2 linked regions of the Lonchura striata genome follow. The protein of the gene in region 1 interacts with the protein of each later gene in a biochemical or structural test. Links are inferred from orthologs where the notes say so. Each region holds a gene or a part of one and is shown in the gene's direction. Other genes may lie near its edges.

Region 1 (7,109 bases):
ACTGACCAAGCACTGAAATGTAAACATTTACTGCACTGTATAATTCTAATAAGCAAAGAGAAGAATGTTGGAATGACAGTTACATTTACCATTCTGTTAGAAATCTCTTTTTGGTGGCTTTAGTATTTACCTCTGGCCAAACCTCTGCGTATTCTGCCTATCTCTTATCAGATATTCATTTGATGGATGAATAGGTGCTTACCAACTGCTACAATACACCACTATCTGGTGTTATATCTGAATATGTGTCATAGAACTTTACATTTGTGACAGCAATGTAATTCACTGAAGGGGAACTTCTGTCAATTTCTGTCAACTGCACTTGCCTTATGTTTTACATAAGATACAGAAACTCTTTGTATCTGTACTCTTAAGCAGAATATTGCTCATTCAGGGTATTTATTTAGGATAAAGTGAAGTCTGATTATTCTCTGGGCTTGCTTAGTGTAAAATGAAGTCTAGGTTGTAAAAAATCTTCATTCTTTAAAGACTAACAATTGTGTTTGCTGAAGGGAGAATAGCCTGTGCAATGTCATTCTGCAGTAAGGTCCCTTGTCTGCTTTAAGATGTAAATGAACAAATATGAGGCAACCATTGCTTGTTACAAGCTTTTTATGTCTGTGTTTAGTCTTCTGAACAGGCACACAGAATATCCCCTATAATCTTTAAGAAAGTGTGCTCTTTGCAAAATAGTGTAATTTAATATACTTCTAATCAGTATCTCCCAGTTTCCCCTTGCCATCTCAAATAGCAGCCTTGTGTTAAATGGCTGAGTGCTGCAGATGTTAGGGGAATTGCCTTATTAGTAAAGTCAACAGTGTCTCTATTCTGGGTTACTGAAAATGGCTGAGTCCTAAAGGTAAATGAGTTGCTTCATAAATACTGTTGCTCGAGATCACTTAGTGATATTACATTTTTATAAATCTTCCAGCAGTGGTTTAGGACTGTCCTCCCCAAGATGTTTGCTCTTCTTTTTTTTTTTTTTTTTTTTTTTTTTTTTTTTTTTTCCCCATTAGCCTTACAGTGATGGTGCATTTGGATTGGGTGAAAGTACTGAGATGAAGGCACTTGTTTCCTTCTCTCATGGGAAGGCAGAGGAGCATAGCACACGTGACTAGTGAAGGTTTGAACTAATACTGCTGTTTCCTCAATGCATGGGAGCTGGATTTAAGTTTATAAACAGACTGTTGGCCCTCCTTCTGGTGAAGAAAGACTGGATTATGTTATAACATGCTGGCATCTCAAGCTTTACCCTACTGCAGTTCCCAGAAGAAGGCATTTTGACTTCTGTTATCTGCTCTGTCTCCAGCAGCTTGTTCCTCTGTCAGTTAACCCCTCCTTTGATTAAATATTTATTAAATTAATCACTAACTTACCCTTTTCTGGATATCATTCAAAACGTGGTAATACGGTGCCATCTATAGGAAGGAGTGGTGGGGAGGCAAAGAAACTTGGGAGAAAAAGGAGAATGATGGCATGGCTCTGAAGAGGGGCTGGTTTGTTCCTTTTTAGAGTTTAGAAGCTGTGGATCTAGTGTCAACTAACACAGGCACATGTATAGCCTCAAGCAATACATGTAGGAGGTAAGAACCTCTCATTGCAATGAGGTATTGATTCTGGAATTCAGGGAGAGCCATTCTGCCAGATTTCAGTCAATTGCTTGAGTACACTATCCTGAGATGTGCTTACTCTGTAATTTCCACCCCCACACCTCCCAGCTTCTGTCACCTGTACAGGGTTTGAACTGAATGGATAAATAACTGATATACTTTATTTCAACTCCTGTCAGCTATTTTTTACTGTTATTTTCCAAATCAGCAATTACACTGTGCCTGTAAGATTTATTTTACTCTGGTAGGATGATAGATGATCCCAGAGCCATGCCCCTGGGTTTGGGCTGAGCTCAGTGTGAGACAGTATCATAGGTGCTGATCCTTGATGTTGATAGGTATTTTCTATCTCAAAGTCAATATTTAGTTGTTTATCCTGTTCCTGATACTGAAGATGCTCTGCTTTCAGGATTATGTCATGATCACACTGATGCCTGTCAGGATGTACATCACCTCTGCATGGCAGTCTCGGGATGCTGCTCTGTGCTGGGCAGGCTTTGTGCAGCAATACAGAGCTCACATGGGCAGAGAACTGTGGGATGATCTTCCACAATCCTTCCTGGCTTCTTCTGTAGTGAAAGAACTTTGACTTCAAAACCTTCCATTTGCTAAGCCCTCCTGCATCAGTTAAATCCAGATACAAAACACTAAAGCTGACAAATGGCAATGAAATGGAACATTAAGGCAAGGGAAACACTGGATGTGTATTCAAAGCTGTGTAAGCAGCTGTGGCTCATTGATTTTGCTTGATGGTGCAGGAGCATCACACATCAGCATTTTCTTGGCTGTTTCCCTATTGTTTGGCAGTAAAGGTCACCTTTTTAACTTCCCAATTAAAGACCCTTAATCATGACAAATGTCTTGTGAACACCACTGACACAATTTTCGCAAGTCTGAAGCAGTGTCTTAGCTTTGAGATGACAATGTCCCCTGCATGATGGCTCTGGGATCAGTGAGTTGGTGCCTTGTGCCTTGGATGTGCTGCATCAGATGCTCTTTAGCACTGGCTTCTTCAGTGCCTTTTAAAGACTATGATGGTATTTTCTTTTATAATTCTTTGAAGTCTATTTTGGTAGAAGATCTCAATCAGGTTATGGACTTTGCGGGCAATTACTTAGTTTTATATGTGGTTCCCACTGCAAATTGATATGTAAATCTTAAACTTCTGTTCAAGTATTATTTCACATGTTTGTTAAGGGTGACCAATGTAGCCCCCAACCCTTGTTTTGGGTAGATTTTGAGTGCTTGTTCAGGATTTGCAAACCTCTTGCTGTCTTACATGTTAAATACCTCTTAGCACATGCCCAGAAAGCAGCATGTGAGCAGCAGTGGAGTCAGGTGCCCCAGCAAAGGTCGCTGCTGTCTCTGTACAGCTCTGTGTGAACACACCGGGCCTGGCAGTGTCTCAAAGGGCATCCACTAAACATGCACAGGTCATTTGTGCATCTCGCACACAGTAGTCATGCCTGTAAGGTTACTGGTAAATCTGTACAAAACTAATTACAGTGCCATGCTATTATTCACCGTCATCGGCTACTTAAGACCGCAAGGGTAGCTGTAATAGCTGGCCTGCTACGTACCAGGGACTGCTTCCTCGCTGATTAACTGAGGGTAGCATCCTTCTTCCTTGCATGCATTGACTTCCTGCGGGAAGCAGGTGCCTCCTGCGGAGCGGTCAGTCTGTGCCGGCAGAAATGGGCGTCCCGAAGGCGGCAGAGCGCCGTTCTAAACAAATCGTCCTAAAAGCGCGCACAGCCCCCATAAGAGGCAGGTCAGGGCGGCGCGTCCTGCGCCGGGCTGCGGCGGGGCCGGGATTTATACAGTGAGCGATGGCAGTGGTGGGACCGCGCTGCCCCTTCCCATCCTGCCCTCGCACGGCGCCGATCCCGCGGAACGGCACCAGCCCGGGCTTCTCTTACACTCGGCTGTCCGGGAGCGGTGAGCTGACCCACCGGCCTGTCCGGCGGCGCTGCGGCGGAGCCACACGGCCCCGGTGCCCTCGGCCCGGGGGTGCCGCGGGGCGTCCCCGGCGGGACTCGAACCCCGGGCGCGTCCCGGCGCGCACGCGCCCCCGCAGCCGCCGGGCGCGCGCCGCCCCCCGTCCGTGACGCCGCCGCGCGGTGACGCCTCGCGCTCCTCCCGTCACGGGGCCCGGCGCGCGCGGGGCGGAGCTCGCGGGCGGCAGCAGCGGCGGCCGCGGCGCTTCACGCCCGACGGGACCCCCGGCCCGGCCCGGCCCGGCCCCGCCGCGGCCGCAGCGCCCCCGGGCACCTGCCCGCTCCTCTCCGCCCGCCGAGCCGCACCGCTCCTTCCGCGCCGGCCGCGGCGCCGCCTGTCACCGTCCCCGCCGTGCTCCGGCGCGGGCAGGCCCCGGGCCCTTTCCCCCCCTCCCCCGGGGGGGTGGGCTCCGCTCCGGAATCCTGGCCGCTCCCTCCGCGCCGCCCGCCCAGCCGGGGCTGCTCCCGCCGCCGCCGGGAAGCGCGGGGGGTCCCCGGCGGCCGCCCGGCCTCCGCCGTGACATAGGTGGGTGTGCGGGGAGGGGCGGGCGCGGCGGCCCGAGCGCGTGCGAACCGCGGGGCGGCTTTGCCCCGGCGCCTTGCGGGCCCCGGGCCGGTCCCGGAGGTGCCGGGGCCGGGGGCAGCACGAACCCGGCCCGGTGCGGGTGGAGCTGCGCGGCACCGTAGTTGTTTGCGGTGCCGGGAGACACGCGCTAATGTTGCTCCCTTACATTACCGCTGCATTACCTGAAGTGTTTTTACGTGCCTGCCGAGTATTTCTGTGTCACCCTGAACCTTCCTGTGTTTGCTCGCTGATGCTGTGGTTTCTCGTCTTGGAATTGCTCTGCAGTGGTAGTGCTGTGAATTGGGTATGTAGGTCAGATTCTGCGAGATGTTTTTGTCAGGGGAAAAAGTGAATGTTTGATTATTTATTCCCGTGTTGCTTTTGAAGTGCATTGCAGCACCCACGAGGTTGGGAGGTTTTTCTGCCTTTTTTTTCCCCCCTTGGTTTCTCTTGCTTCGTAAATCTCTTCTTAGTTTTTGGCTGTGGCATTACTGAAGATCAAAGCGCTAAATTAGCTGGGAGCTTCTAAGCTGTATTGTATCATGCACTGTCCTTTAAGAGGGTGGTAAAAGATAATAGAAGCCTGCCTTAAAACAAGGGGGATTTCTAGTCCGCGCAGAAAACGTCTCTCAACTACAGCGTTTCTTTTCTTTAAACAATGCAGCACGTTGCAGAGCGTTGGAGGCCTCCAGAATTGTATTGCTGTGTGTATGGCAGAGACGTATTACCAGAGTGAATGGCCACAGGCTTGTCTTGCACAATACCTTGGGTTCTCTTGTGGCGAAGCACTTACTAAGGAGATACCCGAGAAAGTATTCTTTCCTGTGGAATTCCCTAGGGATAATTCTAAGGGAAAGGACATTGATGAGCTAGTATTTGTACCACACTGAAAAACCTTAGAATAATTCTTTTTCGTCACTATCTTTTCCTGCTTTCACCCATACCTTTCCTTACCGTGACTTTGTAAATAACTGATTTCCTCAGAAATCTATTTAAAAGTCAGAACTTGCTATAATTCCTGTTTCCTTTACACTGTTTTCTGTAATGACTGCCACCAATACGTATTGACCCCAGATTTGATTCAGGTAGCAAAGCTGTGTATAATTAATTTGATCCTCCCCCCCCCCACCCCGAGGTTTTAGTGTGTGTTGATAAAGCAGAACAGGAAGATAACATTTGTCAGATTGACTCATTGCTTGAGAAGAAAAATCTGTGTAGAGTTTGCCTTGATGAACTCTGTGTTGGTATTTGAACAGGTGGTTTACCTGGCACTAATAGAAGAGCAAGATGAAGAAAATAGAAATTTTTGCATTGCTTGCCTTGGCTTGCTGAGATTTCTAAACTGTCAGAGGAATCTTTTTTTCCAAAATAGCTTGGTAATCTTAGGAGTTTTATAGTAAATGTTATTAAATAGAGAGCTGTGACAGAATTTATTCATGTAGTGAAATGAGCATTATGTTATTGTTTAATATCAGTAAGCAAGCTTTTTTGTTTTGTTTTTATGTTGATAATACTAATTTATGGTAAAAAATGAATAACCTTTCAATTTTGGTCATAGATGTATCAGGGGTTATTTGCTATGAATATTGGGAAAGCCAGTCAGTCCACATGCTTGTGGAATTTAAAGCCTAGTGACTCTAAATGCAGGAGAGATTGTTTTATTATAGTTTTCTCTGGAGGAAGCAAGCAAGTTGGTGAAGCAGAAGTTTTAGTCCACAGTTACAGTTTTTACATCACATTTTTTCCTGATCATTTCCTATAAGTTATTAATATTTAGATACAAATCAGAATTACTGGTTTTTAAAACCTTGTCATTAATGAGAAGTATTTGTGAAGGACTATGAAGAAAAAGGCTTTGAAATCTTGGCAATCTGCAGTTTTATATTTTTTTCTTTCATATTATAACTGTAGGCTAACTTTTTGCCTCAGCAAACTAAGTCAAAAGTCATGAGTAATCTGTTTTCGTGACAAGTTGTTTGGTGGCTGTCTAACTGGTCATCCTCTGAACTTAGATTGATTTCCTTCATTTGTTCCCCCTCTTCCACAACACACAGCCAATGGTGTTCTGATCTGTGGAGAAGTATCCATAGATCCCCATTTAGTTTGGAGTAATGAACATATTTTATAATAATATCTTCTTAGATATTCTGTACTACTAACAGTATCTTTTGTTTAGACTTGGAGAAAAATAAATGAATGATGAAAATGTGACTGATGTAGTTAAGTACATCTTAAATACATTTGCAGAAAATGTAATGTGTTTTCATATGCGTGACAAGCTAATGTAAATATGTGTATTGCCTAGTGACTCTAGGTTTGTCTAATTAGGCAAACTATTAGATTTGCTGTCCTGAAAGATTAATTTCTAAATGCAAGCTTTTAAAATTCTCAAGTAAAACTGACACAGTATTAAACTAAAAAAAAAGAAAAAAATCAGTTAAAGATTTTTTTGTGAAAAGAAAGAAAAATCTTTTTAAGAAGAAAAGCTTCTTTTGCTATTTTAATGTTTTGTATTTTGTAGTGCTAAGGTCAAAATAGATCATGCATGCTATAATTGCACATAGCTTGTAGAATAACATTGGAAACATGGGAATGTGTTCAGAATTGAGCATGTTATTTGTGATTCACTTCTCAATTCTGGATCTTGACATGACATCTTGATTTAATAATATGACAAATGAAGTTTATGGCTCTGTGTAAACCCAGTTTCTTAGATTAAGCATGCTTATTTGCAGAGTTTTCTGGAATGTTTAGTATATTCAACTTAAATGTAATTTTTTAGAAGCAGGAGGAAGATTGGTGATGATGAGAACAGGAAAGATGAAATTCTGTATTGTGATGTTGCAGGGATTCCCCTGGGAAATGGGAACCACTGCTCTAGAGATACTTGACCCACAAATACACATGTGGCATAGTTTAGAGCCCATATTGATGAGA
Region 2 (7,709 bases), on another chromosome or scaffold:
CCACCACTGCCTAAATAAATTTCTTCAGCTATGTGCTGATAAGATTTCAAACATGAACTGAAAACAAGAAATTTGTTTTATTTTGATGCTGTTGCAAAGCAGCACTTAATGATCCAATGCAGAGACTAACAGCAGGAGTCTGTAAGTGGAAGGAATATTGCGTAACTGGGGACTTGAAGTGAGATTTAATGCTCAACAGAAACGCACTATTAAGGCTAAGTGTGAGCAATGTTTAGCCCTGATCACAAATGTGAAATGGAGGGAGAAATGCCTGCCATGATAAAAATTATTTTAGTATTAATGAAAAAGATTGAAAATGTGAAAATGACTATTGTATATGAATAAATACACAGGGAATGAAAATTAAGTAGGTCTATATATTTGATTAATTAATGCTATCCACTCAGTAATTCCTACTGTTGTAGGATTTTAGCTTTTGTAGGATAATGTTGAACTTTCACTTCACTTTCAAATTTTTAATTGTATATGAAGGCTTGTCATACATTTCTGTTACCATTTTTAACCAATGCTGTATTATTTGTATTCCTTTCCTTTGCATAACTGCCTTCTTTTTTTTTCAAGACTGATTTAATACATGAACCTCTGAAACATGAACCACATGTGACGCACTATCTAGTAAAACACTTTTAAGTATTTCTCTCAGTCTTCCAATTTTTTGAGGAGCTGCCCAAAAATGCTGTTTGGCATTCCATATTAAAGCACCAGTATATCATAGCTGATATATTGACTGTAACTTCGGAGATGCTAGGTGTTGGTCTTTTCTAGTGGCCCTCATCACTTGTGCCATCTGTCTGGGAAAGAGAATTATGACTGTGCTAGCAATTGCCTAAGCTCTTCCTACTTACCTATATTTAAATCATAACAAACACAAATAGAGACAGAAACAAACTTGGTCCAATTAATGAGAATTTTTGCCACTTGGAATTAGGTCAGTTAAGTTGAACTCTATAGTCAGTTCACTTTTGATCTAGAAGAAGGGTTTCTGACCTTGCAGTAATTAACCCAGTAGATGCTGTGGTAAGAGGTTGTTAAGGTGGAATGTGTCTGTACTGGCTGTAAACCTGTTCAGCATTGGACATTTTAATAATTAGAGCTCAGCCTTGCAGGCTAATGATAATGTTGATGGAAATATCAGCATAAAACTTGAGAAACAGATTGTGTGGTATAGTTTAGGATGTGCAAATGTGATAGGAAGAAACTGAGGCTTCCTCAGAAGCATGTTGAATTAATTGTTTTGTCAGACTGAACACAATCTGTGGGGCTGCAGATTGAAAACTCTGACTTGAGTTTTGTATGACATTAATTAGCAGAGCCATACCTTTCTTCTGTAAATGCTGAGAAAAAGGAAATAACAAAGTTACTTTTCTGGAAAGTAAAAGTAGGAGATGTTTATTCGCTCACATTATAGCCTTGTTTAACAGCTATTGCATCTTTCCTCATGTGGGCTGTTTTAACTTGTCACTGCTAAAATAAGCACACTGACTGTCTCCAGCAGATAGAACACAACATGCAGCAAGCACAGGAAGCCCTAGGGAAATTAGGAGTAGTTAAGATACACCAAATGAAACAGTCGATTACTCATAATGTCTTTAAGCACTCATGTGGTTGATCCTATTGATACAACCCCTAATAAACAAACAGCTCAGAACTTCCTGAGCTTGCTTCTGTCATTTGAAGGAAATTGACGTGTTTGGGGCAGGGAAGATACAATGGTTTGGTAAATTTCCCAGTTAAAAAAAATCAACAGATAAAATCTATATGAAATTACAAATTTGTGCTTAAAACGCTTCTGCAGTGATTTTTAATTTAACATTCTAGAATCAATTTTTCACTAGCCCACTAACATTGAAAGTGAAGAGACCTCTTCAAGAGATACGTGTTCATAAAAGATTTAACTGTACTTACAAGCTTTCAGCTAATTAATAGATAGCTATTCTATGCTGTTAGTGACACAGATTTTTTACAATTTTGTGCTGTGTTGTTTGGAATGGCTATTGCACATTTATGAGTAAGGAGCAGAATGTGAATGATTTCACATCTGTTTCTCTAAATTCATGTTGTAAAACATGCCATCCTGAGATAGAAGAGCTAAAGCTCCATGACCGTGTCTCCTGGCAGTAAGGACATATGACTAATTCAGCAGCATCAGCCACAATTAAGTGATATTTCCTTCAAAACTGCCGTCATTACACTCCTTGACAGCTTCTTCTGTCCAGAATGTGTCATGCACTTCAAACAGCTGCTGAGAAGTCTGACCTGTTTAGGTCTGTGTATAACTTGGTCATATAAAAATACCATGCTGATAACAGGGATTAAATTCAACTAAATATATTCTTGGGATAAATAAGCACTTACTAGGATATATATCCCTAGTGACATCATACTTTAGAGAAAATTCAGACTGATGATTCCAATGTTGGGCATTCCATTGATCACCATTGCTCAAAGACTGTTGAATGGCTCTCCTGGGGACATTTGTCATTAACCTGTAGATGGAGGTATGTAGAATCAGTTCTTCAGGCCCTTCATACAGATGTCCAAATATCCAACACTGCATTAAACTGTTCAATGCTGTGTTTGAAAGCTTATCTATACAGAAAATCTCTATTACTGCAATTATGTTTTCATATCACTTGAAATGCAATGTCAACTAAAAGCTGTTTTCAAGTTTCTGTGGCTTGTTTCCTGTACAACTTATGCCAAACTGATGGAAGTACTTTTCTTCAGTTATACATACTTCAAATCTTCCTAGAGTAGCTGGGCTCTTCAAGGATGTGATTTTCATTTTGTTTGTGTGTCAGTGTGACAAAAGACTGGCATTCCCTTGGATGAGTTTTTGTACTTTGCAAGTTTTTTTGTATTACTGGACATGTAAGTGAGAAAACCTGCCAAGAAGGAAAGAGAAAATAATGAAAATTAAATATATTTATATTCACTCTTCCCCAAGTTCACTTTTTGCAGTTCATGGATAGGCCTTTAGGTTTATGCATTTTATTTGACCATTCATTTCTTAAATTTATCCACTAATAGAGGCAGATGTTAACTTCTGTTATTACTGGGCTTGTTTTTGATACAGGTTTTGGGTGATGCCTGCTTAGAAACTAAAACATCATAGACAGGGAAATGCAGAACATTTAATAGGTGAAGAAGTAAAGCATACAGGCCAAATACAGAGCTAATTCCCTAATATTTTAATAACTGCTAAGGTTAATTCTTGAGAAATTCACAGTAACACTGTAATTTAACACATTTAAAAATTTGCTAGAAGAGCTAAAGATAAGCGTAATAACATGCATAATGATTTCACTAACAGCTAGATTGCTGTCAGTTCTTTTGGTAATGAATTACATCATTGTAGCATTAAGCAAATGCCAAAATATATTTTTCTGTGAGAATCCTCTGACTTTAGGCACCTTGGTTCTTCCTAATAGCAGTGGTTTAGATACGGATATTGCCATTCCTTATTACCTTGTTGCAACTTGTATGAAAACAATTCCAGACTGAAATAACAGTTACTGAGAACACAACTGAGAGTGTTTTAGCACTGTACAGCTGCTTCGGAACTGTTAGGTCTATGTGTCAGTGTTCTTTGACAGCATGAATCAACGCTCCTTTCCAAAGCACAAGCCCTACCTCCCTCTATAGGCATGATAAGGAAAACCAGGTAAAGCCGATCTGCAGTTTAGCAGGTTTAGCGTACATCATGAGTGTCATCTTATAAATGAATGAAAGTTATGCAGACCCATAGAGAAAGCATTTGTTTCACGAGCTTTGAGCACCAACATTTCAGATTAATGCTCTTATTTAATTCTGCAAGTGTTTGCTTTCTCCATTGTCATTTATTTGACTCATGGTTCTGACAAAATGTTATCTGGTGTATGGGGTGCATTCTCGGTGAGAAACACCACCGGGGCATAGGTGCAGCTACTGGCCCAGTCATATTTCTTTGTATTCAGATCACAGTGAAATCCAGAAATACATCCAGATGCCAGCTCACAAATATAATGTCCTTTTTTGGGCACGTCTTTTAACTGAATTACTGCCACATCCCCTCCTTTGTAAACCAAACTGTTTAATGTTTGGGGTGTAAATGTGTAAAGTGAGGGTGCCAGGAAGATGGAGCCAGGTACAGGAGGCAAGGGGCACAAAATGATGCCCGGGAAGTTCCACCTGAATATGCAGGAAAGCTTTATTACTCTGTAGGTGACTGAGCACTGGAGCAGATTGTCCAGAGAGGCTGTGGAGTCCCCCTGACAGGAAATATTCCAGACCCCTCTGGACGCGGTCCTGTGCAATGCGCTCTGGCGTGGACTTGCTTAAGCAGGGAGATTCCACCAGATGACGCACTGTAGCCCCTTCCACCCTGACCCACTCTGGGATTCTGTGATACGTATTATTGGCTGCCTCTTCAGGCAAAGGGCTGCCGTGCCCCTCTCAGTGCGGCCGTGCCGCGCCGGCCCAGCACCGCGTGTGCCGCACGCCCGGGCTCCATCCCCACAGGGGTCGCCCCGCCCTTGCCCTGATTTAAGATGGCGGCGGCAGCGCCGGGTCACGTGCCGGTGGGCGGGGCGGCCGCGCTCTCCTCTCCGGTGGCGGCGCGCGTGGCAGGATGGAGTCGGCTGCGCTGGAGCGGTTCCACAGCCCGGGAAAGGGCAGCGGTCTCCGCTCCCGTCGGAGGGTGCGGCCCGGAGAGCTGCTCTACCGCGCCGTGCCCTTCGCCTACGTCCTCACCAAGCAGCAGCTGGACAGCGTGTGCGAGCGCTGTCTGCGCAGGTACCCGCGGGAACTCCGCAGCCAGCCCCGCCCGGACAGCGCCGCCCCTTCCGCCGGGGCGGGGGCGCGCCGTGCCTGAGGGCCGGGAGTCCGCGCCCTCAGAGGAGCTGGCTGTGCCGGGCGGGGTGGGATGGGCAGGGCTGCGTGCTCCGGAGAGGAGCCGGCTGTGCCGGGATGGGCAGGGCTGCGTGCTCCGGAGAGGAGCTGGCTGTGCCGGGATAGGCAGGGCTGCGTGCTCCGGAGAGGAGCTGGCTATGCCGGGCGGGGTGGGCAGTGGTATGTGCTCCGGAGAGGAGCCGGGATGGGCAGGGCTGCGTGCTCCGAGAGAAGCCGGCTGTGCTGCGCTGTGCCGGGTCCCGCGGCTGTGCTCTGCCAGGGCGGAGCTCCTGGGCTTGCCGCTTCCTGCCTCTGTTTTTAACTGGGGGCTTTTATCTTAAGCGGCTTTTTTTGAAGATGTCGTCTCTCCCCGGGCGCGGGAAGTCCCTGGGGAAGTGTCCTGGGCTGACAGGAGGCGGCAGTGCCGGCGTGGCTTGGTGCTTCACGCAGTTTTCCCGCTGGGCTGGCGGTGCCGGGAGCGTCCGGCCGCCGCTCGGGGACTCCCGAGTCCGGCGGGGCAAGGGGGAGCTGTGCGCCGGCGTTCGCACAGCTGAGGGGCATCAGCCTTCTTGAAATAAGCAGCGGGCTATGCTTGAGTTTCGGGTCGCCTGGCCAGGTTTATCCCGTAAAAAGCACGTGGCTTTGAGACATGCCGTAAATAAATGCCTGCCTTCTTCCCGCATATCACTACAAGTGGAAACTGACACATAGTAACTTTCTGTGTTTGTTTAGAAGGAAAAAAAAATTTGGATTTTAAACTTGAACAGTATTCTAGCAAGCCGGATTGTGGCAGAGCTGTTAAAGGAGCATCTGTATATTAACACATGAAACATTCTGCTAGATGAGTTAAACCCCTGTATAATTGCCAAGATGTGAGGAAGAGAGACAGAACATTCAATATCACTAATTTTTCTTTTTTAGGTTTTTGCTTTGGTTTGATTTTTGTTTGGGTTGGGTTTTTTTTGGGCGAGGGGAAGGGGATTATTTTGAAAGCATTTGAAGTTTTGTTTGTTGAAACAGTCCAGGTGATTTGTGTCCTGTCCTTTACAGGCATGGTTCTCATTTAATCAAAGAAAAAATTGACAATCTATTTCAGGTGATGCTTGCATTTTATAAGATGCACCTTACATCTTCAGCATATTGAAAAAAAATCCCAACCAAAGTAAAAACCCAACAAAAACTCCCCCCTCCCCCCCCCAAAAAAAAAACCCAAAAAAACCAATACCCTAATAAATGCCAAACTCAAGAGCTTTTTAGCTATTATGCCTGTGAAGTCTGACTTGGGACATAACAGCCCTTCAGGGTGGTGACTGAACATTTTCTACTTGAAATTGTGAGAGGTTGCAGACTTCAGAAGACAGGCCGAGTGTAAGGAATGGGTGCCAGTCTGTAAGGAATACTGTGCTCCAGGACGGCTTAGATGAATGGAGACGAGAGATCTCTGAAGGCTGTTCTTAGAATATCAGGTTTATTAGGGATGGAGAAAGGTCTTGCTTGGAGCTGCCAGATGCAGCACGTGGCAAGGCCTGAGGGGATGGGGTAGCGAGGATGCTCTAGGAGAGGGTGGAAGTTCCAAAAGGGCATCGGCCCCTCAGAGACCCCTTATCAGCGGGCTTCAAGGTGGGCTGGAACAAGACTTGGGCCAATGGGGTTACAGACACCTGATGCTTCAGGGGAGGGTTACAGGTGTGGGATGAACCATACATTTTGGGGGTGAGATGGAACAGTCCATTTGACTTTTGGACCTATCTGTAGGTAAGGGTATTGTCCAGCCAGTAGGAGGGTTGTTTTCATCCTGGCTGTACTACTGTGAATCTTTTGCCAGGCAATTATATTTATCCATCCTTTCCAACAGTTGAGTGCAGTAACAGGTGGAATAAAAGTGAATCTGAGGTGTTCAGATGTACATGTGTAACCAGGGCATGTTTTGTGGGAGAAATAATAGTACTACCAGTTTGTTATATCACAAGAGGTTACTAATTTGTGGTTTTGGTTATATAGTGATAGCAGTTAAATTTTAAAAAGTGACTAAGGAAGTAAAAAATATATTTACACCAATCTGTTTTCCTTTGCAAAATATGTGTGAGTAGACAAAATTTATAGATCAAGACTGTCCAAGCTGACATTTGTCTAATTAAAGGATATATATACATCCATACAGAGATATTTTTTTGAATGTATAAAAATTAGGCAATTAATGAAGTACTGCTAAGCTGTGATGTGCAATAGAACTGTTTCATCTATCTGGATTTTTTGATCTTGTTGAATCTGGTGTGGTCTTTTTTCAAAGTGAGGTACCAGAAAAAAGTTACTGTTCTCTTCCAGGACTACAGATAAAAGTCACATTGTCCACTACTGTTCCTGTTTTTCACTCTGATCTTTAGGTGGCAGTGCAGGAACACAAATTAAAAAAAAAAAAGTCTAATTCTTAACGTTGATTTAGTGGTTTAGCAATCCTTTTATTGATGCAATTAATGTTTGAGGCTTTACACTGACGTGTAATTCTATACTTTTGTCTGCTTGTAGTTGTGAATGTTGCTTGATGCAGTTTTAGGCTGTATGAGAAGTTCTGGGTGAGCCAGAAGATGGGTAGTGAAGTGCAGAGTATCTTCCTTCTGGACTGCCTGCTGAGAGGCAGCATGGTCTTGCCAGGATCTGGGGTCACAGGCTTTGGATGGTGCTGACCTATTCTCTGGCCTTGGCCAAGTTCCTACAGCAAGGGTCTGATGTACCAAAGCAGGGTAAGGTTGGCTGTTGGGGGCAGTTTGCTGCTCTGTTTTAGAAAGAAAAGCTCAGTGCGGTAGTTCTGCTTAGTCTTA

The links. The genes of interacting proteins can lie anywhere in the genome.
Region 2: the proteins of MAP3K2 (region 1) and SMYD3 are reported together in a solved structure, tested with the Homo sapiens proteins (2 studies listed by BioGRID and IntAct, with this or other methods). The link is inferred for Lonchura striata from reciprocal best matches to the Homo sapiens genes MAP3K2 and SMYD3.

Annotation. Positions count from the first base shown.
Region 1 is NC_134610.1:14,452,693-14,459,801, reverse strand, and holds the start of MAP3K2 (mitogen-activated protein kinase kinase kinase 2), read left to right. Parts: upstream 1-4,032; 5' UTR 4,033-4,133; intron 4,134-4,354; exon of another isoform or gene 4,355-4,440; intron 4,441-7,109. UniProt on the Homo sapiens protein: Component of a protein kinase signal transduction cascade. Regulates the JNK and ERK5 pathways by phosphorylating and activating MAP2K5 and MAP2K7. Plays a role in caveolae kiss-and-run dynamics.
Region 2 is NC_134605.1:32,556,044-32,563,752, reverse strand, and holds the start of SMYD3 (histone-lysine N-methyltransferase SMYD3), read left to right. Parts: upstream 1-4,599; 5' UTR 4,600-4,630; coding exon 4,631-4,794; intron 4,795-7,709. UniProt on the Homo sapiens protein: Histone methyltransferase. Specifically methylates 'Lys-4' of histone H3, inducing di- and tri-methylation, but not monomethylation. Also methylates 'Lys-5' of histone H4.